Linked DNA regions of Canis lupus familiaris. The protein of the gene in region 7 purifies or fractionates together with the protein of the main gene of each other region. This does not show direct contact. Links are inferred from orthologs where the notes say so. Each region holds a gene or a part of one and is shown on either strand. Other genes may lie near its edges. The genes, in order: SF3B2, SF3B4, DDX5, GCFC2, SNRPA1, SF3B1 and DHX15.

Evidence for each region.
Region 1: the proteins of DHX15 (region 7) and SF3B2 purify together in Homo sapiens (co-immunoprecipitation; 3 studies listed by BioGRID and IntAct, with this or other methods). This does not show direct contact. The link is inferred for Canis lupus familiaris from reciprocal best matches to the Homo sapiens genes DHX15 and SF3B2.
Region 2: the proteins of DHX15 (region 7) and SF3B4 purify together in Homo sapiens (co-immunoprecipitation; 4 studies listed by BioGRID and IntAct, with this or other methods). This does not show direct contact. The link is inferred for Canis lupus familiaris from reciprocal best matches to the Homo sapiens genes DHX15 and SF3B4.
Region 3: the proteins of DHX15 (region 7) and DDX5 fractionate together in Homo sapiens (co-fractionation; 3 studies listed by BioGRID). This does not show direct contact. The link is inferred for Canis lupus familiaris from reciprocal best matches to the Homo sapiens genes DHX15 and DDX5.
Region 4: the proteins of DHX15 (region 7) and GCFC2 purify together in Homo sapiens (co-immunoprecipitation; 3 studies listed by BioGRID and IntAct, with this or other methods). This does not show direct contact. The link is inferred for Canis lupus familiaris from reciprocal best matches to the Homo sapiens genes DHX15 and GCFC2.
Region 5: the proteins of DHX15 (region 7) and SNRPA1 fractionate together in Homo sapiens (co-fractionation; 3 studies listed by BioGRID and IntAct, with this or other methods). This does not show direct contact. The link is inferred for Canis lupus familiaris from reciprocal best matches to the Homo sapiens genes DHX15 and SNRPA1.
Region 6: the proteins of DHX15 (region 7) and SF3B1 purify together in Homo sapiens (co-immunoprecipitation; 6 studies listed by BioGRID and IntAct, with this or other methods). This does not show direct contact. The link is inferred for Canis lupus familiaris from reciprocal best matches to the Homo sapiens genes DHX15 and SF3B1.

What each region holds. Positions count from the first base shown.
Region 1 is NC_049239.1:51,705,001-51,708,500, forward strand, and holds part of SF3B2 (splicing factor 3B subunit 2), read right to left. Parts: intron 3,215-3,500; coding exon 3,065-3,214; intron 2,435-3,064; coding exon 2,345-2,434; intron 2,234-2,344; coding exon 2,126-2,233; intron 905-2,125; coding exon 797-904; intron 526-796; coding exon 383-525; intron 300-382; coding exon 198-299; intron 1-197. UniProt on the Homo sapiens protein: Component of the 17S U2 SnRNP complex of the spliceosome, a large ribonucleoprotein complex that removes introns from transcribed pre-mRNAs.
Region 2 is NC_049238.1:59,867,874-59,872,090, forward strand, and holds the start of SF3B4 (splicing factor 3B subunit 4), read right to left. Parts: upstream 2,801-4,217; 5' UTR 2,678-2,800; coding exon 2,644-2,677; intron 2,197-2,643; coding exon 2,068-2,196; intron 1,800-2,067; coding exon 1,257-1,799; intron 934-1,256; coding exon 727-933; intron 1-726. Other genes in the region: MTMR11 (myotubularin-related protein 11), read right to left, coding at 4,003-4,149. UniProt on the Homo sapiens protein: Component of the 17S U2 SnRNP complex of the spliceosome, a large ribonucleoprotein complex that removes introns from transcribed pre-mRNAs.
Region 3 is NC_049230.1:14,616,019-14,620,247, reverse strand, and holds the start of DDX5 (probable ATP-dependent RNA helicase DDX5), read right to left. Parts: upstream 2,801-4,229; 5' UTR 2,773-2,800; exon of another isoform or gene 2,329-2,772; intron 2,149-2,328; 5' UTR 2,014-2,148; coding exon 1,970-2,013; intron 752-1,969; coding exon 586-751; intron 254-585; coding exon 157-253; intron 59-156; coding exon 1-58. Other genes in the region: CEP95 (centrosomal protein of 95 kDa), read left to right, coding at 3,040-3,058. UniProt on the Homo sapiens protein: Involved in the alternative regulation of pre-mRNA splicing; its RNA helicase activity is necessary for increasing tau exon 10 inclusion and occurs in a RBM4-dependent manner. Binds to the tau pre-mRNA in the stem-loop region downstream of exon 10.
Region 4 is NC_049238.1:48,133,561-48,137,733, reverse strand, and holds the start of GCFC2 (intron Large complex component GCFC2), read right to left. Parts: upstream 2,801-4,173; 5' UTR 2,747-2,800; coding exon 2,467-2,746; intron 2,376-2,466; exon of another isoform or gene 2,217-2,375; intron 2,152-2,216; exon of another isoform or gene 2,133-2,151; intron 1-2,132.
Region 5 is NC_049224.1:40,139,757-40,143,973, reverse strand, and holds the start of SNRPA1 (U2 small nuclear ribonucleoprotein A'), read right to left. Parts: upstream 2,801-4,217; 5' UTR 2,697-2,800; coding exon 2,615-2,696; exon of another isoform or gene 2,098-2,614; intron 808-2,097; coding exon 660-807; intron 1-659. UniProt on the Homo sapiens protein: Involved in pre-mRNA splicing as component of the spliceosome. Associated with sn-RNP U2, where it contributes to the binding of stem loop IV of U2 snRNA.
Region 6 is NC_049258.1:6,839,143-6,843,433, reverse strand, and holds the start of SF3B1 (splicing factor 3B subunit 1), read left to right. Parts: upstream 1-1,491; 5' UTR 1,492-1,622; coding exon 1,623-1,650; intron 1,651-4,291. UniProt on the Homo sapiens protein: Component of the 17S U2 SnRNP complex of the spliceosome, a large ribonucleoprotein complex that removes introns from transcribed pre-mRNAs.
Region 7 is NC_049224.1:86,203,999-86,207,498, reverse strand, and holds part of DHX15 (pre-mRNA-splicing factor ATP-dependent RNA helicase DHX15), read right to left. Parts: intron 1,324-3,500; coding exon 1,154-1,323; intron 1-1,153.

The DNA.
Region 1 (3,500 bases), on a different chromosome or scaffold from region 7:
AACTGCTTACCTTGTGTTTTTCACTGCCTAAAGCAGTGCCTGGCACAGAGCTGGTGTTCGATAATTGGTTCACAAGGTGGGGAAAGAAGCGGGGGAGTGGGGGGTGTATGGGGGAGTGTAGGACAAGTCAGCCGGCTAACCCAGAAGCTGAAGGGACAAGGAAGACCTTCCCTCTCAGCCCTGCCTGGTTCCCTCACCCGTCCATTGCTTCCTCAATCTTCTTCTTCCTCAACTCAATGAGTTCAGGGGTCTCCATTCCAGCTGGCACTGATGAGAAACCTCCAGGAGTAATAAGACCACTGTGAAGAGAGAAACAATCTCTGGAGTAAAGAGAAGGCCCCCAATGATAAACCACTTACAAGGCCGACTCTGCTCTCCCCACCTGTCTGCAGGGGTAATAAAGCCTGTCTCATCTGGTTTGTCCTCATCACTTTCCTCCTCTTCCTCTTCTTCTGAAGACTCTTCATCTGATGGCTCCAGCTCCCCCCAGGGGGTCCTATCAATCTCCTCTTCCTCAGTCTTGGTCTGAAAGAGATCATTCATTCATTCAGCCAACATGTACTATGTACCTATTATGTGTCAAGTTGTTGCAAACTGAAAGTATATAAAAGTAAATACAATAATCTCTGCCTACCAAGAACTCCTATTCTAGAGGGGAACTTGCTTTACATCTCAGGAACATGCATGCCTTCTTTCCAACTTTGGAACTTCAAAACACCTGGCTCCCTGCTAATGAATCTATAAACCAACTACCTCTCCACTTCCTGACCTGAAGACAGACAGCCTTAGCTTATACCTGAAATTCAGCAGCATTGGTTCCAAACACGTCCCCATAGAGTGGTTTCCCAGTCTCATCCACTGGGGGTTTGCCCCAGCCACCAGCATGGTACCCAAAGGAACAGCTCTGCAAGAGATGAAATGCAAATCAGTTCCTCTACTAAGCTCCAGAATAAACACTGAAGCCCTGGAGAAAAGTCACACTACAAAGCACAGAACTAGCACTTGGTAACTGGAAATTATGATTTCAGAGAAGAGTTAAATGTTATAAGGCATTACAAAGCAGAAGTAGTAAGCAAAAAAAAAAAACCCCAGAGACAGCAGGATGGGGAGATGAGAGGCAGAGGGTAAAACTAACCTCAGCCTTCATGGTAGAATCCACACTGTCTGAAAGTAATTCAGGTACTTTATTAAGATATTATTTATTCATGAGAGAGAGAGAGAGAGAGGCAGAGACACAGGCATAGGGAGAAGCAGGCTCCATGCAGGAAGCCTGATGTGGGACTTGATCCTGGGTCTCCAGTATCACACCCTGGGCTGAAGGCGGCGCTAAACTGCTGAGCCACTGGGGCTGCCCAATCAGGTACTTTAAAATACGACTCTAACTTATTACTGACTTTTCCTAACTTGGGGAAGCTTTTAAAATCCTTTTTTTTTTAAAAAGATTTATTTATTTATTTATTTATTTATTTATTTATTTATTCATTCATTCATTCATTCATTCATTCATTCATGATAGACACAGAAAGAGAGAGAGCGAGAGCAGCAGAGACACAGGCAGAGGGAGAAGCAGTCTCCCCACAGGGAGCCCAAAGTGGGACTCAATCCCAGATCCCGAGATCACACCCTGAGCTGAAGGCAGATGCTCAACTGTTGAGCTATCCAGGCAACTTAAAATCTATTTTTTAAAAGGGATAAATTTTTACTTGAAATTTAACAATTACTTCTTTTTCACCTTAATGACTTTGCTATCTACTAAAATTTTTTTTTTAATTTCACACTTCATATGTTAAAATTAAAGTGTAATGCCACTCTTGAGATAAAATTCTATCTGTCCAGCCATGTATATACCCAAGAGATATCTGGTAACACATTCACCCAATTTTAAATCTGGTTATTTCTGAGTGAAATTATAAGTGATTTGTCTTCCTGTTTGGACTTGTCAATTCTTATGGACTGTTTTATGGTGAGCATGTCAGGTTTTATAAAAAACAAAAACTGCTACTTTTTTTAAAAAAAAACAGAGAGAGAGAGAGAGAGAGAGATGGAGATACGGTGGGATGAGAGAACAACAACAAAAAAAATCATCCTCTAGTTAAATAAGAATGAAAGGAAGGCCAGCGCGCACCTCAGGGATGGGGGAGTTCAGCCCAGGAATCTTCAAATTGGGGTACGATGGGGGTGGTCCATATCGCTGCATTGCAATCAGCCATGGCGGAGGGACCTTGTGAGCATTCTGCAAGAAAAAGAGAACAGGATACCATCTGCCCAGCCCTGTCCTTTGTCTCCCTTCTGCCCCAATTCCCACCCTTTTCTTGGCATCCCCAGTCAGGTAACTGGCACTCACTGGTCCTACTGGCATCCCCAAGGAAATCCGTAGCTCATCAGACAGATCTCCTGGCTTCTTCTCCTTCAGTCGTGTTTCAAACTCCTTCCCCTGAGAAAAAAGCAGAGGACGCTGCATTATGAATGCCAGACACACACTGGGAATTCAACAGCAAGAGGATAGAAAAACAAAGATGAGAAGTCCCAATCCACACCAGATACAAAATCCTACTGAGAGCTGCTGTTTCTCATCACTCCTTTCCATGGCTAGAGTAGGAAAAGAAATAAAGGCCAGGAAGGAGGAGAAAAGCGAGACTCCCAGTGCTGACATGAACCCACTTAGAAAACATGGCCAGATTTAGGGCCTACTTTCTTGTCTGTAAAATGAAGGCACTTGATGGGATGATCTCCAAGATCCTTCCACCTTGAAAATTCCTTATCGTGGTGACTGCTATTTCAATGATCCAGATGGGAAAAAAAGGAAACCTTTCTCCCACCCTCAATACTAATTTTTCCTAAAAGCATCTACCACCTGGCACCTCTGCCCCTTATTCAGTTATCACTTTCAAAACATGGACTCAATCTCTCCTCCAAAAAGACTACCTCCTTTTAAGATTTCAAATCCATTCCACCCAGGAGGAGTTAATGAAAATTCTAAGGCTAAGAGGAGCCTCTATATCAGCTAAGAAAGCCTTTTCCACCAAGAGCTACACAGCCATGACCAAAGGCCCTGTCCCCGAACCTCATAGTACAGGTCCCCGTGGATGGTCAGCTTGGGCTTGGTCTGCCACTTGAAGAAAGCATCGTGCAGTTTCTGGTAATCAATGTCAATCTTCCCCATCTTGGGCCGAACCTTCTCTCGCATTTTGGACTTCATGGTCTTCTGTTCTTCCTGTGGAGAATGCCAAAAGACAGGTCATAAAAAGTATTTACCCAGTTCAGCTCTTTATAGATCTGGCTCTCCGCTCCCAAAAGAAATGAAGGGAAACTTCATATATCTCATTCCAGAAGTCACCAAAATCCTTCCTGCTCAAACCTCTCAAAATTATATAATTTGTATCTAGCAAAACAGATGGATCATAGAAAACCATTTTCAGCTCTGTACGTTGATAAATATATTTTTAAAGCCATCTGATCAAGAGACTGACCTCATTAGCTGCCTCTGGAGAGAACTGGGT
Region 2 (4,217 bases), on a different chromosome or scaffold from region 7:
ATAAATAAAAATTAAAAAAAAAAAAAGAAAAGAGAACCAGATACAAAAACCCAGCTACATGGAGAGGGAGAAAAGCCTACTAATGTGGCTAACTTTTTTTTTTTTTTTTTTTTTAATTTACGATAGTCACACAGAGAGAGAGAGGCAGAGACACAGGCAGAGGGAGAAGCAGGCTCCATGCACCGGGAGCCCGATGTGGGATTCGATCCCGGGTCTCCAGGATCGCGCCCTGGGCCAAAGACAGGCGCCAAACCGCTGCGCCACCCAGGGATCCCTAATGTGGCTAACTTTAAGGAGTCTGAGACAGATGAAAAATCCAGAAACACCAAGAGGCAAGCTTTTCAAAAAGGACAACACACCCAGTTTCAAGTACACCAAATGGCAAACCAGGTAAAGAATGGAAGTGCCCCCTCTATTTGGCAATTAGGTCACTGCTTTGGGGTAGAAGTCGGAGGAGAAAAATGAAGTAAAAGTTAAAGGAAAAAGCAAACGAGTACAGTTACACTCTTTGGAAAAACTTGTATAATAAATGGAGACAGGGTGGTAGCTGTTAAAGTAAACAGAGAACAGTGTCTCGTGTTTGTTTTTATAAAAGAATGTCTGAAAAAAAAGCAGAGCTCCGGGACTATCTACTATTACTGCTGAGGGATGAGGGCAGCACTGCATGTGGCAGTGGAGCTCCTCCAACAAGCTTATCTATCCTTTTCCCCAGCAAAGAACACTCACCTGGATGGGGCATCCCACTTGGTGGGAATGGGTGAGGATGCGAGTGTCCATGTCCAGGATGTCCAGCCCCTGGGGTTCCTGCTGATGGTGGACCGTGTCCTCCAGCACCGGGAGGCATAGGTGGCGGGGGCATGGCTGGGGGTATCCCGGGTGGAAGGGCTCCAGGAGGCGGCACCGGGGGTGGGAAGGACCCAGGAGGAGGCATGCCTATAGAGGAAATGAAAGACAAGTTAACGATAGTAAGGAGAGAATGTCTTTAGAAAGCCCGTTCAATCTGGCCTCCTCAGGCAGGATAAGTTCTCTTCCCTTCCTCCCAGCTCTCTAAAATCAGAAGCAATACTAGATAACTAGGAACAACTTCAGCCTCTTCAACTCAACAACTTTCTCCCCACAACTGTCACCCCTCACTCTCTTTCTCATCACCTACTGACTCCATGTCCCCCTTTATCAAGTTCTTTTCTCCTCCCCTTGCCCCCGCTCACCACCACACCCCAAGCCCAAGACAAAAATACTTTGAATAAAAGCTTTACCTGGTGGCGGGAGCCCAGACCCCAATGATGATACGACAGGATTGGGGGCTGAAGGCGGAGGGGGTGCATCTGCAAACAGCTGATGAGGGCGGTCAGCCTGGGAGAGTGGGTTCTGGGCTGCTAGAAGTCGTTCAGCTGCTGAGCCGTGGCGCTCCCCTTTCGAGTCCTTCTTGAAGGCATAGGACACAGTAATGGGGCGATTACAGAGATACTGCCCATTCATGGCCTCAATAGCTGCATCCGAAGCGTCAAATGAAGCAAAATTAATAAAGGCATAACCTTTGGAGTTGCCTGTATCAGGGTCCCGCATAATCTTAGGGGTTTGTAAGATGACCCCGAAGGCGCTGAAAGTATCATAAAGCAGCTTCTCATCAATTTCTGGGTCCAGATTGCCAATGAAAATGTTGGCCCCCACGTCCAGGTTCTTGTTGTGAGCCGATGCCTTGTTCACTCGTATTGGCTTCCCATATAGTTTGATCATGTTCATGATCTTAATGGCATAGTCAGCATCTTCCTCACTCAGGAATTCCACAAAGCCATAGCCTGGGAAGTAGAAAAGCAGAGATTAACTTAAGTGAAGTGATTCAATTTCGTGTGTAACTCATGCACCTTCCAAAGCACAAAGAACATGAAATAACCACCTCACTTCAACTGGGAATGGTTCCAGAAGCAAACATTGAATGACACTTAAAAGGAAGAATCTACAGGTGATTCCAAAACGGCTATGAATACTGCCTATGAATACTGCCGGAACCCTCCAGGAGCAGCTTGTCCCCTCAATGCATAAACACGCCTCTTGTGATGTACTCACCTTGGTGCTGACCTGTGACTCTATCCTTTGGCATGTGGGTGTTGACTACTGGCCCTGCCTGGAGAAAAAGCTCCCACAGCAGGGGTTCGCTAACCTTCTCATCCAGTCCCCCGACGTAGACAGTGGCATCTAAGAGAAATGAGCAGATTATGGCAGGGATGAGACAACGACGGGAAAGAAGGAAGTGACAGGCGGGGGAACTGGGAGTGGAGATGGGATATAGGAACAAAAAAGGAAAAAGACGTGAGAGTAAGCCCTTACATCTCTCTCATTCCAGAACTAAAGAACCTTCTTAAGTCTAACTGAAGGTTCTGCTGCAAATTCTCTGTGAATTGCTTTGTTTTTGGTTTTCGTTTGGGTTTTTGTTTTGTTTTGTTTTTTTGAATGGGAAGGCGCAGGAGATTGGACAGAGCATCACAACCACAGGCCTCAGCCTGCACCCGGCCACCCCACCCCCAGCCGGCACGGGGGCCGGGTTCGCGCCCTCCGGGGGGATCCGATCTCCTGCCCCGGCGAAAACACGGCTGGCCTTCCTCGAGGCCTCCCAGCCTCCCTGGCCTCATCCCCTCCAACTACCCTGGTTCCGCTCGGAGATCGGGCCGGCCGCCATGGCGAAAGAGCTCCCGCCGTCTCCAGGCAGCGATCCCGCCCTCTGACCTCAGTCAGTACTTCCACTTCCGGGGCGAAGGTAGTCACGAGGGCGGTGGGCGGGGCCTGATGGGGGAGGAGCCGGAAGAGGCCCCGGCCATCTTAGGAGTTGCGGAGACTTGATGCGGCTTGTGGGGCCGCGTTCTCCGGTCCGTGGTTCTGCGCGGATTTGCCGCTGCTAGCGGTCAAAGCGATGAGGGCCGAACGGAAATGCCCAGACCCTCTTAAGGCAGTGCTGGACGTTAAAGGATCACAGTACTCCTAAAAATGTAAACTCAAAAGCTAAAAGAACAAAACTTTATTTAGAAATATTTTGTTGGCAAACTATCCTTTTGTTCCCCGGAGAAGGGTGTGCTGAGGAAACCCTCCAACCCAAGGATTCGGCTGCCTTAGGGTGCGGAGGCAGCCCTCCACCGTGGCCCGCGGCTTCTGGGGAGAGGATTGCGGAGTGTCTGAGCTGGAGTGGCGTCGGAGCTCACATGATCCTGTTGCATGGGGGAGATGGAAACCTGAGGCTCAGAGATGATGTGTGCCCAGAGCTGAGGGTACCTGACATTGCAGCCCAGGGGCCTCAGTTTCAACCGCCAGAATACCCCGGGCCCACCAACCATGTCTTTGCATGCTCTTTGCCCCATCTTACGAAACGATTAGTGTGGACAGCCTGACCTATCTCCATATTTCCTGAACAATAATATGGTGGGTCCCTTCTTCTCCCGGTTTATCATCGCTTTTTTACTTAGGATCTTTTATTCAGACACCAGAGATAATGCCAGCAACTGTACTTTAATGAACTCGTTAAATAGAAATGTCACTACAAAATATACAATTGGGAGAGACAGGATGTGTCCCATACCCACTAGCATACCCATAGAAAACCAGAGGGAAGAAACAGAAATTGGAATTAAGCAGCAAGAGGAGGTGAGAATGAGTTCTGTAGGCCATCTCCTTTGAACTGATGAACAGCATCTCTCATCTCACAGCTTATCGGCTGGGTATCCAGAGGGATGGAATTGCCCTGAAAAGAACAAAGGTAATCGTATTCTGGATTGCTTTTGTTTCTTAATTCCTCAAATCATGAGAAACATATCTCGAGAATGAAACAGGACAGGGCAAGAGTTGGAGAAGGTTAGCACCACCCATCTGCAACAGAAAGGTCAGTGAGCTTGTTGAGGGCTGGAGTGTCAAAAGCTGAGACAGCAAGACCAAGATAAGAAAAATTGGAGGATTAGACAGAACCTTCCCTCACCCCGGACCCCCTCTGCCATGCCCATAAAAAAGACAACAATTTCAACGGGACTGGGAAAGAATGGTATTTGGATCTCTTTTCTTGGAGTGATCCTCAGGAGATACTCTTGGTGTCCATTTCCTTAAAAGCTCCTGAAGATGGGATAGCTCATCCTGGAGGCCAGAGATTGTGGGAGCTGAGAGGCCTTTCTGAGAAGGGGGTGAAGAGAGGCAGAGAGGAATATTATTATAGCTCTAGCTCCCTATTTCTGAGATGT
Region 3 (4,229 bases), on a different chromosome or scaffold from region 7:
GCTTGAATTGCAGTGGGTTCAGTAAAATTCTGTCTTGCAATCACATCCATTACATTTGCTGTAATTAGCAACAGTAATTCAGTAAATTTAGTGAAGCTAAGAAAAAGGGTGAAATTAATAAAGGGGGGGGAGTGAGTGCTCTGAACTAGCACTTACCAGGGAAGTTTGCTTCATAAAAATTCAGAACTGGCTTTGGGCAGTTGTGACCTCTAACCGTAATTTCCTTACTCCTTCTGTATGTCTCCACCTCTTGCTATAAAACAAATTTTAATAACCTACTAAGTACCATAACAACCTTCACCAATATGCAGTCAGCAGGCCTTAAGTTTATCAAGGATTAGCAAACTGTAACGGGCCATTTAAAATCTATATCCACATATAGAAAACCTACAGAGCACAAGATCCATCTATTGTAGTTATATTTAACCACTCTAAACAGAAAAATTCAAAGATACCACTTGCCAAAGCACCTCCTCTTCCTCGACTATCAGAAAATATGAGTTTTCCAAGGCCTCTGTTCAAATTTCTGTTTACTAAAAGTCACTGTTGAGTTACAGCCCAAGGAAGCCCTGTGAAATTACTCACTGCTGTGCGCCTAGCCAAATCAGGGTGTTCTTGATAAAAATTCTTCTCAAATTTGGGCAGCTCATCAAGATTCCACTTCTTTTTGACTAATTTCTCCCCAGGGTTTCCAAACTTCTTTCCAGATAGGGGCCCTGCCCTACTTCCCCCAAATCGAGGTGCACCAAACCTGAAATTAAAACAAAAAAGTTATATTTTCAACTACCTACTAAGACGTTTACATACAGACTATTTATTGTCCCTTGACACACAGTACAGATAAATGAAAGACTTTTCGAGGTTTAAGACTTAGCACTGTCCTTAGTGATGGGTCATGCTCTCAAAAGCCACAATTAGCACCATCTCTCTCACTTTCCGTTGTCCCAAATACACACTATTGAAGCCAAATCAACAGCCCGGGATTTATCAGGTCGGAAATTGGCTGCCCAAACGCCCCATGTTCAGATTACAAGGATAGACAACAGCTTGTGGCTCCTAGTCTTTCCCGTGAGCTTAGGCATTAAATGTCTGGGGGAGAGACAATACAAGGGAGGTGCGTAACAGCAATGTTATTATCAGCTCTTTCCAAGCCAAGCAGCTTTGGTTCTAAGGAATAATGGGACAGCACCAACGAGAACAGAACAAGGACGGTGGTCTCAGAGACATTTATGCAAGCCCATCGAATTGGGGGGATCCCCCCGGAGGGCTCCTCATCAAGATAGCAAAATTATATAACGCAAAGAAAAAGAGGAGGAGGAGCTGGCAACTACCGGGGGAGGAGTCCCGGACCGGGCGGCGTTCCCGCTGGGGCGGCGCTTCCCCCTTTGTCTCGCATTTCTCTCTGCGCCACATTTTCTCGACGCTGCCATTTTGAGCTCCTCCGCCGGGCGGGGTAACAAAGGCGCCGCCGCCATGTCCGGCGCCGGCATTTTGTACCCGCGGCTCAGCCACATGGCCGATTCCCGCGGTGCCGGCCGCCCTCCTGCTCCCGCGCCATCAATGGCTCGTGAGGCGACCCCTTCGATTACCACAGAACTCCCGGGGCCCCTACAACACTTCCCGAAAAGATGCACCGAACAGCGGTGACTTCGTTCTCCTGAAAGCGTCGCGCTTTCCAACCATTGAAATACACTCCCCCGAATTGTCCCCAACAGCTGCTCAGTCGGCGGGGGCGGGGGCTTCGGCGCCTCCCCCATCCCCCCACCAACAAAAGGCGAGCTTGAGGACCGTTAACAGGGAAACATCCCTCTGTCAGTTCCGGACAAATATCAAAATGGCGCAAGCCTTCGATTCGTAAAGGTTAAATATAGCCGGAAAAAGCCGACTGTCCATCGCCCCCGCCCGCCGCCTCCTTCATCGGCCTCCCATCCCCCACTGCCGGGCCTGACAAGTCCGTTCCCACACTCACCCTCGATCCCGGCCGCGGTCTCGGTCACTCGAATAACCCGACATGGCGTCAATGGTTGCGGTTGGCGGGGAACGAAGTAAAGAGAATCGGGTGCGACGAGTCGCTGCAGGTGGCTTTGGCGATGGCAAAGCCTTGCGGGGGCGGCAGCGGCAGCGGGGCGGCGATGACAGGGGCCGGAGCTGCTCGACAAGAGACCGGTGGAAATGAATGAGGTGCCGGCCGCGTCCCGGCAGCCGGTTTTATAGCCTGGACCGCCTCCTCCGCCGCGGAGAATGCTGGGAGCCGCTCTATGACCTAATCACCCCGCCCCTGCGCAGAGGCCGCAACGCCCGCCGGCGTTCCGGGATCCGCCATGTTCTCGCCCCACCCCCACCCTCCGCTTCCCTCAGAGTCGCCGGCTTGGGGCCCCTTTCACGGCTGGGCCCACCCGCACTGAGACGCCTTAGCCTACTCTGTGTTCTTCACCTTTTTCTCGTCTTTCCACACCTCAAGGAAGCCACCCCGCCCTTTCCCAGGTCTAGCCCTGCCGACAAAATGGCCAGCACAGACCAACCCACTCAGCCCACTTGGAGATGTTTACGTCTCCGAAGAGCCTTCACGCCCCTAACCAAGTGAGACGGGAAGGCGGAGCCTGACATTGTCACGTGACTGCTCCCGCCCATCGGGTAAGCGGACCGCACTACTTCTCCACTTGGCGTCGGCGGAGGAATACGAAACGAAATAGCTCGCCGGAAGTGCCGTACTATTGCCCCCGGGAGGCCGGCCAGGGCCGCTGGGTGACCCGGCCTGTCAAATCCACCCACCTGAGAATCCCTCAGCGGGATCTTGCCCGCGGAGAATGGTACCTAGAGCCCACAAACCGCCGCCTGGGCGCGTGCTGCGAAAGGAAGTCCTCCCGTGATGACCAATCAGCAGCAAGAAGCCGTTTTAACGTCCCTCCCTCTTTCACCCCCTGCCCTTTCGTTTCGTTCTCCCCCCACCTCGGCGTTGCGTCTGCGCTGTGCGGCCCTTCCCGGACGCCGTCCGCCTCGCGCCCAGCTGGAAGTCCGGCAGCGACCTGCCTCCGTGACATGGCCGGCTCAGAGGCTGGTGAGTCTCGGCCCGGAGCCCGGGTGTGTGTGGACTGAAACCCTTTAAGTCCGCCGGACGCTCCTAGGCCTTTTATCTCGAATCCTCCGGCTGGACTCCCTGGGTCTGGGCTGCCGGCGGGGCTGGTGACAGACACCCAGTCGCAGTCGGCGGTTCCGTGGGTTTCTTGGCCCCGCTCTGGGTCCCCCTCCTAGAGGCCATCTAGCGAGATCTTGGGGTGTGGAGAGAAGAACCCCGTGGCGAGGCCCGCAGCACGCCCGCAACCTGGCTGCAAAAAGGGCAGTCGGAAAGCTGCTTCCCGGGACTCGTGTTTCTCTGGGGCATCCAGCCACTGTCAGCGCGCTCTCTGCCTCTTGGATTGTGGGGACTGAGGCCGTTACCTCCATGTGCATTGAAGTTTTGAGGGGAACGGCACTCTAAAGATCTGCTGATGCTCCTGCCACAGTAGGATAGTGGCGGATTTTTCTCTTCAGTGCCCTCTGGAGTTACCTGCATTGTCTAGCAACCGCTTTTGAAAACCGAGTGGGTTGGGTTGTCCGGGACGCTTTTCTTTTCATCCTTTCCTCAGGACAGCGTTCAAACCAGCTCGTGGTTTGGTCAGCTGTGAGAAGTGGGCACGGGGACAGGGAGATAACGTGCCTTGAACGCGCTCAGTTCGTCAAATACGAAGTAGAAGGACTTCTTAACCACCTTAAATTGTATCAGGGAGCAAATAGGTCAGGCTTTAGAAATTACCTTTGTTGGAGAAAGTCGTGAAATAATCTTGCTAATTCCGACCGTATCTGGGGGTGGGGTGCGGTGGCACACAGGAAACTTCCAACAGTGTTGGTAATGTGCTAGTTCTGAATTTAGGGATGTCTTTGTGTATTGCCTGTATTTTACTTCTTATTCATTGACTTTATTTTTTTTATAAGATTTTATTTATTTATTTGAGTGAGAGCATGAGCAAGGGGAAAAGCAGACTCCCCGGTGAGCAGGGAGCCAGACTTGGGGGCTCCATCCTGCGGGGATCATGACCTGAGCTGAAGGCAAAGGCTTAAACCGATCGAGCCACCCAGGCGCCTCCATTAAATGTAATTTTTTTAAAGAACTAAAACAAATGTTGCAGTGTTGGGGTCATTACTTCAGTTTTTTAACAGCCTGAATTAATCACCACCTTTTGGGGCACCAG
Region 4 (4,173 bases), on a different chromosome or scaffold from region 7:
TGCTATTTATACAATGAAGCAAAAACAGTGGTGGGTAAAACTCCTGCCTTCTTTTTTTTTTTTTTTTTTTTTTAATTTATTTATGATAGTCACAGAGAGAGAGAGAGAGAGAGAGAGAGAGAGAGAGAGGCAGAGACACAGGCAGAGGGAGAAGCAGGCTCCATGCACCGGAAGCCCAACGTGGGATCGATCCCCGGTCTCCAGGATCGCGCCCTGGGCCAAAGGCAGGCGCCAAACCGCTGCGCCACCCAGGGATCCCAACTCCTGCCTTCTTAATATGAATCAAGACAGTGACAGCAATCTGTAGTGGCGGCCATTGTATTCTTCACTGCCATGCATTGCCAGGAAAACAAACAGGTAAACTTACCATCCTTAATAGAGCAACAAAAAGTTATTAAATTTATTCAATCTTGACCTTTGAGGACACATCTTTTAAATAGTCTATGGAACAAAACGGAAGTGTGTATTAAGCACTCTGGGGGGCATACTGAAACATAATGGTTGCCTCACTGAAAAGCATCTGTATGAGTTGTACGTTGAACTAGCCACTGTCTTCAAGAAGCAACAGTTTTATTTGAAAGAATGACTGACAAACTCTAGTTATTTCTACATGTCTACCTGACACATTTTCTCAAAAATGGCAAAGATGTGCCTATCACTTCAAGAATTAGAGATTTCAAGTGAAAACTCGAATTTTGGAAAACTTATATGCTACACAGTGAACTTAATATCTTTCCATCACTTAACGACTGATGATTATGAGAAGTAACACAGTAACATTAACAGATTCTTTTGGATATTATATAAAATGTACCAGCATTTGCAAACCCAGTGAACCAAGAGTTTCCAACAGTCAATGCAAGATTTTACCAATTGTGCATGGGTAAAAGATTCATTGAAAATGCAAAACAGACCAATGGATTTTCACGTAATGGAGTATAAAAAAACTGACAAGTATGATTTCAGCTGCCATGTTGCAAAATGACCTTCAAGAAACTATTTTTTGTTGATTTTTTTTAATATCAAAACAGAACACCCTCAGTCATCTAAAAAGGCTATTAAGTATTCCTATTACACCACAAACCTGTGGTTTTCTTTTCATATTTCAAATGAAACATCACAACAGATTGACTACAGAAGCACCTTTGAGAAGTCGGCTGTATTATTCGTTGAAGCCAGACATTAAAGACTTGTAAATTGAAACAATGTCATTCTATTTTCTGGAAGAGTGTCCCCCCTCAAAAATGTTACCTATCCGTACAGGTAATGGTTTAATTTAGAAAAAGTGAATAAAAAATTATCTTAATCTCTACCATGGTAAATATCAATAGATACAATCTACAGAAACAAAAGCTCTTTGGGATAGTCTCATAAAGGAGATATTAAGACCAAAAAGTTTTGAGAACCACTGTTTTAAATGCAAGCAAAAAGGCAACTCCTGGCCTCAATTCTCCCAATTAAAGTTTGACCAGGTGACTTCCATAGAGTAGAAAAATACAAAAAGTCTTCAAAGCTTTAGACAAACAGAAGGTCGTAATGAAAGAAATCACCAAAATCACTTGTACTAAAAATAGTGGTGGAGAAAAATTCTACCTCAATACTAACAGAAAACTGCATTTTTATTAAGCTCCAATTCAAAACGGAACAACTGTCAACAACTTTACGTTGCTTAAATTCTGTATTTAAAAACGAAAGGGTACTTCAAACTACATTGTACTTAACGCCATATACAGTCTACAGCGTCATCAATCCATTATGCTACTTAGTGACGTAGCATGTTATTTTTTTTAAAGATGTTATTTATTTATTCAAGAGAGACACACAGAGGCAGAGACACAGGCAGAGAGAGGCGCAGGCTCCACGCAGGGAGCCCGACGTGGGGGACTCGATCCCAGGACCCCGGGATCAGGCCCTGAGCCGAAGGCAGACGCTCAACCGCCGAGCCACCCAGGTGCCCCTGGAGCGTTATTCTTATTTCCCTTCTTGCAGATAACTGATGAAAAACAAAACAAGCACAAGAAAACGTTCCAAGTGTCTGCTACCTATATTCTTCTAATGTACTATTCTGGTCAAAGTGTTTTCTGGAAAAATAATTGAGGATGTTTCCAAAAGTACGTAACACTTTCCCCTACCTCAAAGTACTAGGAAAAAAAAAATTTTTTTTTTGACTTCTGTGACGATTTAGGTTCTTCACAAACAGCAAATACTGCACTTACAACTGCAACCGGTGGGAGTTCACCCGATGGTGCAAACGCAGAGGAGCCACAAACCACGCAGGGTTCCTTCCAGCCCCCCGCCCCACCCCCACGCCGCCCAACGCGGACATGCGGGCAGCGGGCGAGTGGGTACCGGAAGCCGTACCAGGACCGCTCCAGGACCTTCCCCAGAACCCCGCGGGCCTCGTCCCCGCCCCCACCCCCACCCCCGTCACTTCCGGCGCCCCTCCGCCCCGCTCCCCTGCCTCACCTGGGATGCCCGAGCCGCCTTCCGCGCGCGGAGCCGCCCCCGCGGCGCGCCGGGAACTCGCCCACACCCGGCCCCGGCCCCGGCTCCGAGGGCCGCGGCCCCGAACATGCCGGTCCGCCGCTTCCACACGGCCACCTCCCGGGGGTGGCCCTTCCTCCCCAAGGCCCGGCGCCGCCTGCTCCCCCGGCGCCCCGGGTTCAGCAGACGGCTCCTCGGTGCTGTCGCTGTCACTAGAGTGGGTTCGGCGCTGCCGGAAAGTCCTCTTCGGCCTGTGAGCCATGGCCGAGGCCCGAGCCCGACGCGCGCCTCCGCCCCCGCGTGCGGCGTCCACGGCGGCGCGCGCTCCCGCCTGCGCCGTCCCGCCGCCGTGCGCGCGCCCCCTGCGCCCTGCGCATGCGCGCTCTGTCCCTTTCGCTCGGGTCTGTGGACTGGTTTGCGGGGCGGCGGCCTGGAGGTGCAAGGCCTTTCTCAGGCCTGGTTGTGTTGCTCCGCCGAGTCCGGCAGCCTCCCGGAGCTGGGCGCCGCGGAGAGCATCGCTCACCGGTTCTCCTTGGGCAAACTCTAAGATTCAGGCGCTGCACCTGCCTCCTAGACTGGAACCCCGTTCGCTGCCTTCCGCTTTATTGAAGAGAGTAAAGTTCTCTCCAACCAAGAATTAAAAGAAACAGGGATCCCTGGGTAGCGCAGCGGTTTGGCGCCTGCCTTTGGCCCAGGGCGCGATCCTGGAGACCCGGGATCGAATCCCACGTCGGGCTCCCGGTGCATGGAGCCTGCTTCTCCCTCTGCCTGTGTCTCAGCCTCTCTCCTCTCTCTGTGTGACTATCATAAATAAATAAAAATTAAAAAAAAAAATTAAAAAAAAAAAAAGAATTAAAAGAAACAAACCAGAATGCTGTGTGTGTGTGTGTTTGGGGAGATTGCTTCTGAAAGCTAAACAGGAAAATCTGCACATAAATGATAGAGAAGTACGCAAAAACCAAAAGATTGCTCTCAGGGGGCAAGGTTTCAACAGAGCCTGGTTAAATGCTTTGGCTCATGGGGGCGGGGGGGATGCATCAGAGAAAAGGGGGTGTTGTTCAGAAAGATGTGCGGCAGTAAGAAGGATGGCAGACCCCGCGGGAAGCTTGGACTGGATCCAGTCACACTGTTGAGAGAGAGGAAGCCTTGATGGGGGACTGGGGGTAAAGCCCATACTTAGTTGGACGCCTCTGACCACATCCATCTGAAGCAGATAACCGTGGAGTTCCTTCGCATTCTCTCGCCGGGTTTGGCCCCATGCTCCACAAAAGTTTTAGTTCGTGCTTTAAAGTTCAGGAAGGCTTTCCAAGAGGTTTGTAGGAAGGATTGTTTTAAGAGGGAAATTTCCCCAGGCTCCCCTCCCTCTATATGTAGCTGCCCCAGAACCCTCCCTTTGGTTCTCTCTCCATGCCTGTCTTCTCCGGTAAGGGCCATAAATTCATAATGTCTTTTTTTTTTTTTTAACAGCTATCAGTGTGAAAATTTGTCCTAAGTTTTTCTTGTTTTTACTTAATAAGTTCATTAGTCTGCCCTGGTGCACAGGTGTTCATGCATCCACACAGGGCCCATGTCGTCTTCTCTCTCTGCTTCTTACAAAGAGACATGATTCTCTATCCATTCTGAATGTGCAATAGTATATACACCCACGTGTAAAAACTCCCGCAGCATCTAAAGTTTTGTTGTCAGGAT
Region 5 (4,217 bases), about 46 Mb from region 7:
CTTGAGGATTTCTCTCTCTTTGCACCACTCCCTGCTCTCAGGCATGGGCTTTCATTCCCTAAAATAAATCAGTCTATCTATCTATATAAAATTGTTGAACTTTACATATCTTCTAAATATAATCCCTCTGATAATTACAATTAGTTTTAGAAGCCAAAATATGCACAAAACAGAATATTTGCAATTTAAATATCTATTACCATGAATATATAAGTATTTCTGAACAAATGCAAATAAAAACAAGACCATTACCAAGTTAATCTATGGGCCTATATGGCAAAAGTGTAGCTTGTTTCTCATTTTAAAAAGAAATACATTAAAAAAAAAAAAAAAAAAGACATACATAGGTCAGCCCCACTGGCCCAGCAGTTTAGCGCTGCCTACAGCCCAGGGTGTGATCCTGGAGACCCGTGATGGAGTCCTGCATGGGGCTCCCTGCATGGAGCCTGCTTCTCCCTCTGCCTGTGTTGTGTCTCTGCCTCTCTCTCCAAGTCTCTCTTGAATAAGTAAATAAAATCTTAATAAATAAATAAATAAATAAATAAATAAGAATACGTAGGCTCAACTGGCAGTATATGTACTATGGCTTCTTCAGGGAATGCTGCAATATTTACTCTGGGGGGCGGGGGGAGAATTACTCTCCACTAGCAGACACTTACCATATTCTATTGTTGTTCACTAATAATGTTTTCAGCCTTCTCAACAAAGGAAAACCATCCAGTTTCCTGATTTCATTGTCAGAAAAATCAATAGCATCAAACTGGTCTAAGGTAGCACCCAGATTTTCAATGACAGGAATTTTATACCCTGCAAAGTAGAAGGAAAAAAAAAAATACACAAGTATTGATATGGCTAAACGATACCTTAAAACCTTAGCAGTACTTCATGGTAATTTGACTCAAAGCTTCCATTTATTTAGAAAGTGTTTACCTGGTACCTGTGCTGTGCCAAACACTGTGCAAGTATCTGGCACATAAAATGAGGAACAAGGATCAGATGGCCCACTGCCACAGTCTAGGAGTGGACATGAAGTCAGTCATGACAACACCCGACACTTATTAATAGTAATATTGGTAGCTAACATTTGCAGGAGTATTTTTTAAGGTCCCTCACGCTGTTATAACCAAAGCTCCAGAAATAGGTAAATGGCATAATGAGAATTTACATTGTAAGCTGCTTTTTTGTCAGCGTCCAAGTCTTGTTCATACATTGTGGACAACAGCTCTTGACTCTGTTTGCATTCCCACAGGCCAGATACATAAAACTTACCAGGATATCCTTGTGATCTCATGACAGTTCTCCCTTACTGTACACTTCCCCCAGCTCCAATTCAGAGTTGAAGGTCAACAGTTTATACACAATAATACATCACCCTGTGAACAATTCACCAAACCCTCACGAGTTTGTCTTAAATGGGCATAACTACTGTGCTAGGTGCTGGCGGAAGAAAGAAACGAATCCAAGCCAAGGTTAAAGTACATAATTCAGAGCAACAAGGGTTGTAGCAAAGCAAACGCTATATCAAAACAAGTAGCCTCAACACTCGATGCACTTCACGCTTAGATGGTTAAAGATCAATCTTCGCCAAGAGAGCGACACTTAATTTCAACAAAATGAAAGCAGTCTGGCTTTGTCAGCAAGGAATCCAAGCTTAAGGCAAAGCCCACAACAGTGCTGCACCTCAGACGGTGTTCTTCTGTGGAGCCAAATCTCAGGCCCAAATTGTATTCCCAGAGAAACTGCTCTTCACATCATTCCTAGAGTCATTTCCTTGATATGCTGATTAGACAGCTGCACTCCCAATTTCCCACCAAGCCTTTACTAAGGTTGAAATGGCTACGTGAATTTGAATAGTTCAGAGCTTCTACCGCCTTACACAGGGAACTTGTACTGCAAGCCTCTTTAAAACCTTTTTTTTTTCTTTCAGTATTTTACTTATTGATTTCAGAGAGAGAGAGAGAGAGAGAGAGAGAGATGGCACAAGCAGGGAGAGCAGCGGGCAGAGAAAGAGGGAGAAGCAGGCTCCCCTCGGAGCAGGGAGCCCAATGCGGGGCTGGATCCTAGGACCCCTGGGGATCAAAGACACTTAACCGACCGAACCACCCAGGTGCCCCTCAAATGCTTTGATAAAAGAGAAATATGGGACAACTGAAGGGAAGAGGGAAGAAATCTTGCGGAAGCAATCGCTTTTGTTCTCCGACGTCATTTCCCCCCTCGCAAATTACAGGTAACACGTTCTCTTACTTACGCTCCCACAGTAACACCTGAACGTATTTACGAAGAACCAACCAGCCGCTGCGCACTAGCGTTACCAGCACGAACAACTTGCCAGCTCTCAAATAGTTGAGACTGAGAACTACGCCAAGCAAGGCCTGCCTGAGGCCCTCGGCTGTGGACCAGGAAGCGATCTACTGGCTGGGCGTGTGAGTAGGAACGAGGGTAACCCAAGGCTCAGAAGGGCCTAGGGATGGTCTCTGGCAGCACCGGGAAGACGCAGCCCCGGGCGGTGCTGCCACAGTCCGGCTCGGCGCCCACAAGGCAGGCCCGCGGGCCAAGCGCCGGCCCTCCGAGCACGCGGCTGGGCGCGAAGGCCCACCCACTCCTCGAGACTCACCCCGGAGATCCAGCTCGCGGTCCCGCACGGCGTTGGTGTACTGAGCCGCCTGCTCGATCAGCTCCGCCGTCAGCTTCACCATCCTGCTGCCTCCCGCTGCCGCTGCCGGTGCCGCGGCCCACCGGCTGCTTCCCGCCGCCTCCCGCCCGCCAGACTTCCCGGCGTACCCCGCGCCCCGCCGCCAGGCCTCACCAATCGCAGCCGGCGCATGCGCGCGCCGCTCGGCACCCAGGCCGAAGTAATCGATCGTGAGCAACGCCCACGATCTCGTCGTCTGCGGAGCTGCTGGAGCGCGCGGAACGTGTCTCGGGTTCTGGGTTTTTCCTTGGGGCGTGCTTGAAGGAGGGCCCCTGATTCCTGATGATGCTCTTGTCCGCAAGTTAAGCAAAATGTAATCGCACCCGAATAGAACTTTCTCATGCATCAATGCATTTTGAGGCGGGAGGAAACGCTGTGTCTGCCCTCGCCCCACCCAGGAGGGACGGGCACCCGGGGGATCCAGTGAAAGGTTCAGGACTTCAGGATTCCCGCCCCACCAGGGCAGGGTCGATCACAGCCCGCCCCGCTGGGATCGTCTTACCACCTAGCGCGCCCGACCCTGCCCCGCGCACAGTTCAGTTTTCGGTTAGGCTTGTGACCTCCAGGTATTTAAATATTTAACAGAAGCACGGGATACAGAAGAGTGCGCAAACCAGGAATCTGCAACGTGAAGAATACCCGCAGAGGGAGCGCACCTGCGTTGCTGCCTCCGGGTCCAGAAAAAAGAACACTTTTCCGAAAGCCTCCATCCCTTCCCAAAGGCAACCAGGAATCCCAACACCACAGATTAGTTTTTGCTTGCTTTTGATACAAATAGAGTCACGCAGCGTGCTCCCGTGCCTGGTGTCTTTGGTTTTGTGTTATAACTGGAATCCGTCCCAGGTTGCATCCAGCAATGGTTTGTTTACTTTTCGCTGCTGTGCAGAATCCCATGGTATATCTCAGACCACAATTTAGCCATTCTGCTGTTGATGGACATTAGGATCGTTTTGTCGTGGGGCTGTTCCGAATACCGCTATGCATTTTTGTTGTACGTGGATCCAATGCACACGTGTCCAAGTTTCTCCAGGAGTAGAGCTTCTGGGCATAGGGTATACTATCATCAATAAGTAATGCCTAACAGGCCAAGAGGCTGAAATAATACTAATATACATACTCTAGCTGTGTGCAAGAGGGTTTCCATCACTTCCAACCTCAGCCCCTTTAGTATTGCCAGTATAACTGTGGGGACTGGGGTGCATGGGTGGCCCAGTTGGCTAAGCGTGGGACTCTGGATTTCTGCTCAGGTCATGATCTCGGGTAGTGGAATGGAGCACGACCATTGGGCTCAGCCAGGAGCCTGCTTGGGATTCTCTCTCCCTCTCCCTCTGCTCCTCCCTGTGCATGCAAATTCTCTTTCAAATAATAGTAGGGCAGCCCTGGTGGCTCAGCGGTTTAGCGCCGCCTTCAGCCCAGGACGAGATCCTGGAGACCCAGGATCAGGTCCCACATCAGGCTCCCTGAATGGAGCCTGCTTCTCCCTCTGCCTGTGTCTCTGCCTCTCTGTGTGTGTGTCTCTCATGAA
Region 6 (4,291 bases), on a different chromosome or scaffold from region 7:
AATTCAACAACTAGAGTTTACCAATAATTCATAAAATTACATGTTCTTGGGACGCCTGCATGGCTCAGGGGTTGAGTGTCTGCCTTCAGCTCAGGTCGTGACCCCTGTGGTCCCTGGGATCCAGTCCCATGTCAGACTCCCTGCAGGGGGCCTACTTCTCCCTCTGCCTGTGTCTATCTCTCATGAATAAAATCTTTTTTTAAAAAAACAATCTACATGTTCTCTTAACCCTTTCCTCCCTCAACTATTGTTTAACCTAAATTAAAACAATTGAAAATTGAAAATTTTCTCTCATCAAATTGATTTTTTTCATTGATACTAAGTCCCATTTTTGTTACTAAAGTTTCTACTAAATACTCATGTTGTGATCCTGTTACACAGCCAGGCAAACGTTTTTGGTGATAGCTCTAACCTTAATCCTTACCTGTTTCCTTAGGCTGCTTCCTGTACCAACTTCCCCTCAAAGTTATGTTCTTTTTTAATCCTAAAGTCCAAGGCCAGTGTGGCAGTTCAAAATTATGCTTTTGTAATTGAGGAGTAGGCAAAAAAAAAAAAAGAAAAGCCATATTTGGAGCTTTTAAAAATTCCTGATTCAAGAGTGACATTTAGGATTAAGAGAGGCATTCCAGGGATCCCTCGGTGGCGCAGCGGTTTGGCGCCTGCCTTTGGCCCAGGGCGCGATCCTGGAGACCCGGGATCGAATCCCACGTCGGGCTCCCTGCATGGAGCCTGCTTCTCCCTCTGCCTGTGTCTCTGCCTCTCTCTCTTTCTCACTGTGTGTCTATCATAAATAAATAAATAAAAATTAAAAAAAAAAGAAAGGCATTCCATCAGTGTTAATGCTGACAGCCAGTGGTTTTCTAAGAACCTATGAAATTAAAAGGCTTTAAAAAAGGACGGCACAGTTCCTCCCGGGTAATTCAGTAAGGGTGTGACCTTGCATATTTTATTTACACCCCCGCCCTAGTTTTCCTCTCCTTTCTTAAATGGGATTAGCAACAACTCGCCCACTTTCCTGGGTTGTTTGTGAGGTACAACAGTGTCTGGAAATAATAATGTTGTGCACGAAACTCCTACCCAAATGGCAAGTAATTCTTTAAGAAGAAAGAAAAATGACCTTGAATTTCAGCGCGAAGGACGTGACTGGTGTGTGTCTCCACAACTACCCACTGCAGCCGCTGAGAGACGCCACAGGAGCTCTCGCCTGGCACCGACACACCTCCGCTCGACGTGGAGGACGAGAACTGACGGCCTGAGGCTTCGGACGGGCCTGAAATCCAGCGTCTCTCGCAGTGACTATCAGCGGGTCCTCGCACAACCCACTTCCCTCCAGAGCAGTCGCCGTCGCCCCCGCCCCCGCCCCCGCGTCAGGACTCGCTTAGCCCTCCTCCTCCCGCCACCGCGAAAACCGCCTCCGCGCCGGGCCCTGGCTCCTCCCCCTCCCCCACAATGCATCGCTCTGTTCCCTCTAGGCGGCTGCTCCGTCACGTGTCGCGCGGCGGCGCGCGCCCCCGCTTGGCGCACGCGCAGAGAGCATTCCCCAGCTATTTTTCTCCGTGGCAGCGGCGGCGAGCGGAAGTGCTGGGGAGCGCCAGTTCCGTCTGTGTGTTCGAGTGGACAAAATGGCGAAGATCGCCAAGACCCACGAAGGTAAGGCGTCTTCCCGTGCTCCCGCGTCTTCTCTGCTGCCAGCCTGCCAAGACTCGATTTTACTCGGTTTTTGCCTCGGCCTGTGGTTTCGTTGGTGGGGTGCCGCGCCCGCGCGTGGGGGCCCTGGTCGGCTCCTCGGCGCTAGCGGCGCAGGCCACTGCCCCACGTAATGGCGTCCTACTCCTCCACCGCGGGCAGGCGCTTTGTTCCGCGTTTGGGTCCTGTTCCTTCAGAGTTGCTTCTCTTTTCCGAGCGGAAGGCCTCGTTCAGACGGCTCGCCGGGGGGGAGGCCAGGGCCGCGAATCGGGGAAACGGGCGTGAAAGCCGGGAGTCGCCCTCGCCTCACGGAACTGTGGCGGGCGCAGTTCGTGCCCGGGGGAGTCGGGGGAGCCCGGGAACACGGCAGCCGCTTTTCGGCAGCGCCAACTCGAGCGTAGCCTGCTTGAGGCCCGTTCCTCTTCGTCTCGGCTAATCAGGCATCTAAAATACTTTTTTTTTTTTTTTTGTATGAAGTGATTTGGACATAAAATCTGGTAGTTTTTTCTTCCCGTGATCACTTGTATATTGGTGTTTGTTCCCCACCCCCCCCCCTTGGAGACTGATGATTGGTGGAAGAGGGAAAGGCACGTTATTATTCCCAGCGGTCAAAGCTTTCGAGGTACCTGATCGTTTTGTGGAATTCGGAGAACACGGAATTTAGGAAAATGCTGAGAATAAGCCGGAGTTCTTGAGGGAGTATCCAGTTTCCAGAAATGACAGGAAATAGGGTCACTTCAGAGAAGATGAGGCATGGGCATTGGGAGGCGCGTTCCTTAGGATTTTTTTTTTTTTTTTCTGACCTGGAATCTGAAGCGTTCGTCGAACGGGAGGCTTCCAGGAGTCATTTGTATTTTCACGGGTCGTTTCCAGGTGCTGGCTCCGTGTGAGTCCGAAGTAACAAAGAGTAAGGCCGTGCAAAGTTTTACAGGCTCCTGGGGAGACAGGTGTGTGTGTGTGTATACGTTTTCATTCTTTCATGAGGCAAATTAACGCTTAAATAGAAATACAGGCCGCATGTTCTGGGATTCTGGGTAACGGAGTGATTAATTCCTGCCTAGGTAGGACTCTTCCATAGAGGAGGTGACGTGTCCCTGGCCTAAACGGATCAATCCGTTTTAAATTAGGGGAGGACATTTGAGCCTGAGAGGACATCTTGTAACGAGGCAAGGAGTCCTGAAAAGTGTGTTTGAGTAGTGGACTGTGGCGCTGCAGGGAGGGAAAGTGTAGGCGAATCTGGAAAGGTTGGTTGGGACCAGGATGTGAATGCCCTGGAATAATTGTGTTCCCCGCCAGAACTGAAGTCCAGCTCTCTGCGACATGCTAATTAATGGGCAGTGACTTTAATACTCTTCTCGTTGTGGGGGTAGGTATTTAGGATTTATTTATTTATTTTATTATTATTTTTTATATTTTTTTATTTATTCATGAGATATTTTTTATTTTATATGAGATATATATTTTATTTTATTTATTTATTCATGAGAGACACAGAGAAAGAGAGGCAGAGACACAGGCAGAGGGAGAGGCAGGCTCCCCCACAGGGAGCCTGATGCGGGACTCGATCCCGGAACCCCAGGATCACGCCCAGGGCCAAAGGCAGGCACCAAGCCGCCGAGCCACCCGGGCTGCCCGGTATTTAGGATTTAAACACTGTTTTAGCCCTGAAGGTTGTTTAGGCACTTACTCTTCTGTCTTTAGACTAATCCGGATGTAACCTTTTGCAAAATAATTAGAAACTGAAGATGTTGCTCTTGTTTATTCAGGAGTAGGCTGTTCATTGGGGGCAGTTTGTGGCTTTGATCACTTGTTTGTTGATATTTTTAATCATAAAGATACTTTTGGACAGGGAAATCAAGGTTTGGATCAGGTTTCCTGCTTTTTTGAGACTCAATTAAAAGCTTTGGTCTATAGAAGATTGAAGTTGATTGGCCAAGTTTGCTTTTTTATTTGGAATCTTGCTACAGTATGAATTAACTGATGCTATAAAGAAAGTATAGCAGTATTCAGTTAACAACAGCACTGTGTATAAGACAGTCTGTCACTGTGAGTTTTTGGTAAAGGATGATCAATGTTTAGTGGAAATATGCATAATATTTACATAGAGATACTTTCCTAAAGATCTGGAATGGTTCATGGTGCATCTCTTCTCTTTTCCCTTAATAAGTCATCTCTGATAGCCTGGAGCAGATTTCTTGGTGGGTTTATTTATTTATTTATTTATTTATTTACTTACCTAGGTGCTACTGTAGCTCTTTATTATACTAGAATATTCTATTGTGTTAAGGTTTTTTAAAAAATATTTATTCATGAGAGAGAGAGAGAGAGGCAGAGACACAGGCAGAGGGAGAAGCAGGCTCCATGCAGGGAGCCTGACGTGGGACTCCATCCCGGGTCTCCAGGATCACGCACTGGGTGGAAGGCGGCGCCAAACTGCTGAGCCACCCGGGCTGCCCAAGGTTTTCTTATCCACGTTGAGACTGATGTGTACAGGAACTATTTCTTGGTATCCCCAGTACCTAATGCCTAATGAGTACTGAGTATTAACATTTATTGAGAGATTATATTGGAAATATTAAAAGTTTCACAGAAAGGGGCCGCTTAA
Region 7 (3,500 bases):
AAGACTGGAGTTGCTAATAGGATAAGAATTACTCATTAATATACTGATGAACAAAGGCAAATCTATGAATCCAAATCAACATTACAATTGCAAATGCCTAATCCATATAAACACCGCTTTCAGAAATGCATTATTTTAGTAAGCTGTAAATTTTCTGATGTTGGACTTTCTGTAACTTAAAAAAAAAAAAAAAAAAAAAACCTTTCTTTACACTAATGTAAAGATATTAAAATAAGGTTATTAATTTCTTTAATAACCCTATTTTGACCAACCTCCCCAAGGTTGTATTAATACAGGTTCTAAGTGAGAAATATCTTTGTATTCAAATGATTGGATCTTCTCATTTTCCAAGTTTAATAACTATAAATATAGATCTATACCCCAAAGAATTCACTTGACTGAATCTTTTTAAATGTTTAGCCATAGAATTTTTTCTCCAAAAAGCATTTAAGATAAAATGGTAATGTCCTACACAAGTGTCAAAAGTCATAAATCTGTGTAGGAAAAAAGCCTCACACTATCTAGCAAGTGACAACAACTAAAATAAGTGCTTTCAGCCCACCATTCTTGGCTGACATCTCTAATCCTAAGTTACGGAATGGATTTTGGCAAAACCACCACCAACCAACCAACCAAAACAAAAAACAAGACACACAAAAGGGGAGGAGTGGTAATTTTGCTTAAGATAACACAATCAGTTCCAGTAACAATTTGTAAATCAAATATGCTAAGACACAAGATGTGTAGCTTTTATGTTTGCTTAACTCTGTCTAAAGCATCAACATATAAAAATAAATAGTTCAGAGCTAATGATAAATGGGACAGATTCATTTCTAGTGCAGTACCAGGAGACTTGAGTTGATCACAACAACAAGAGAATAGCTCCAAAGATAGTCTTTGATTCTAGTCAACTACAATTTTATATTTGACTTCAAATCCTGCCCATGCCCATACCAACAATCCCACTATTCTCTTAGCAAAGATTTAAAGAGATCAACCATACCATCAGGTCGAAGCCCCATGCCTAAACCCTGGAGCACATATCCTGAGCTGATGATAACATTAACTTCAGGACATGACTACTGAAACAAAATCAGATTCCATTCTGAGCAAAATGTTAACAAAAACCTTTAAAACAAAGGGTGGTGCTTACCATTCTGGCTTGATATCTGTACACGTCCGGATGTAATTCTTTGTCGTAAGAACAAACTCATTATAAAGCACCCATTCAGGCTTGTGGTCAAGAACAGTAGAGGGATGCAACTGAACCACCTGGTTATCTTTCACAGTTAAGTAATGCCCTGTTCGTTCTAAATGTGCCACCTGAAACCAAAACCCAGTAAAATTAATACAATGCTTTTGATGTGCTAGTTATAAAGCAAAAGTGCTGTAAAGCTACTATAATTAGGAACAGAGAAGCTTCATCTTTTGCTTTTTATTCAATGGCTACACTTATTTACAACTGCCTGATAAAAGCAGGGATAAGCAAACTCCTGCAAGCCAAATCCAGCTCATTGCTTGTATTTGTTAAAGGCCTGTCGGACAAACATGCTCTATACATCTTTACAGAATGGGGAAGGGTGGGTGGGTGGGTGGGGCTGGCAAAAGGAAAATATCTGGTCACGAGTAAAAATCACGTAATTCAAATGTCAGGGTTCCTAAGTAGAGTTTCACTGGAGGGAAACCTGGGTGGCTCAGTGGTTAAGTGTCTGCCTTCGGCTTAGTGCGTGATCCTGGAGTCCTGGGATGAAGTCCCACATCGGGCTCCCTGCATGGAGCCTGCTTCTCCCTCTGCCTGTGTCTCTGCCTCTCTCTGTGTGTCTCTCATGAATAAATAATAAAAATCTTTAAAAAATAAAGTTTCTCTGGAACCCAGGGAGCCCATTTGCCCATGGCCGCTTTTGCACTGCAAGGGGAGGCAGAGCTAAGTAGTTTCAGAATGACTGAATGGGTCCACAGAGCCTTAAATATGCACTATCCAGTCCTTCCTGCCTTAGACCATCTAGAGTAGGTTCTTTAGTGCTAGGTGACAAACTGTGTAGTAGATGAACAATTACTAAAACATTCACAATTAAGATAGAAAAAATAAAGCAAAAAGGAGTGAAAAGCAAATGGTAGTCTACGAAAAAATAAAAAGAATAGAGGGGACAAAGGTGCACATGCTTCTTGCCTGCATTTCTTCTATCTGTAATCAAATATGTCTACCTAATATTTAATTAGCAAACACTGAAACAGTTGATATGCCCTTTCTAATTCTAGAACTAGATAGTAATATGAAGAATGTGTGTCAATGATAGAAATGAGTAAGTATTAATAACAGAAAATGAACTCAGTTTCCTTTAAAAAATACTAAGTACCTAATTAATAGGTCCTAGGTACTATAGTGCATGCCCTGTTTCTAACAAATTTAATCTTCAAAGTAGAAATCCATGTTTGAATATGGCTTTGTCAATGTTTTTGGAATTACAAGCAAATTTAAGAATATGTCAAAAAGCCACTATATACTAATATATATTATATATTAAGAATAAAGTGTCTAGAATGAATTTTCATACCTAGCTCTATTATTTTCCTAACTTTAATGAATGAGATCTTATATGAGATGCCATAATAAAAATTCTTACTGTTATTACGATTTCAACTACAGACTATGCACCAATCAATTTTTATTTTGATTTTGAGCATTTGGGTCCGTTCTATTTATTCAGCTCATTTGGCCTTAAGGCAGGCTACATCTTGCTTAAAGACATAGCCAAAATAGAAAATGAAAAAACAAACAGGAGATAGAAGAGATAATTAAAATCAATCCAATCCCAAGTAATGGATAGATTTGTTTTCAATTTTTACCAGTAGAGAATGAGTTTAAAACATAATTTAAAATCTCTTAAACACTTTGTTTACCTGACAAGCTATATATACTTCAATTAGTATCGTCCCCACGACAACACACTTAAAACTAAATAAAACATTTTAAATTATTTTTCATCATTATCACTTAAAAGACATTTTTGGCTTTTGCAGCACCCAGGTGTCTGCTATATATTTCCATGATCATTCTACAGCACTGTGAATGAAATACAGTTATCTCAATACTTGATTTTTTGGGTAGTCTTTAGTTGCTATATAAAGACAAAAGTGAACTGCACTTCTTGGATCCACCCAGACAACTGCAATGTTTTAGCACGATTTATAACTGTATCTCTCCAGTTACCACCTAGATTCACAGAAATGTTTCAATATTTTAAAATCAAAAGCCAAAAACTGAAATTTACATTGAAGAAATAGCTGTTAATCCCACCTGAAAATGGCTAACATATCATTTGGTATAATAAAGACTCTTAATTAAAAAATAACTACAAATTGATTTCTACATAACTGGATTACTAACTTTGTCATTTAACAAATTAATCTGTTACTCATTAGACACATAAAATTAGTATATTATATTAATTCACTTGAGAATCTAGACATAACATATAAAGTCAATATTCAGAGGCATT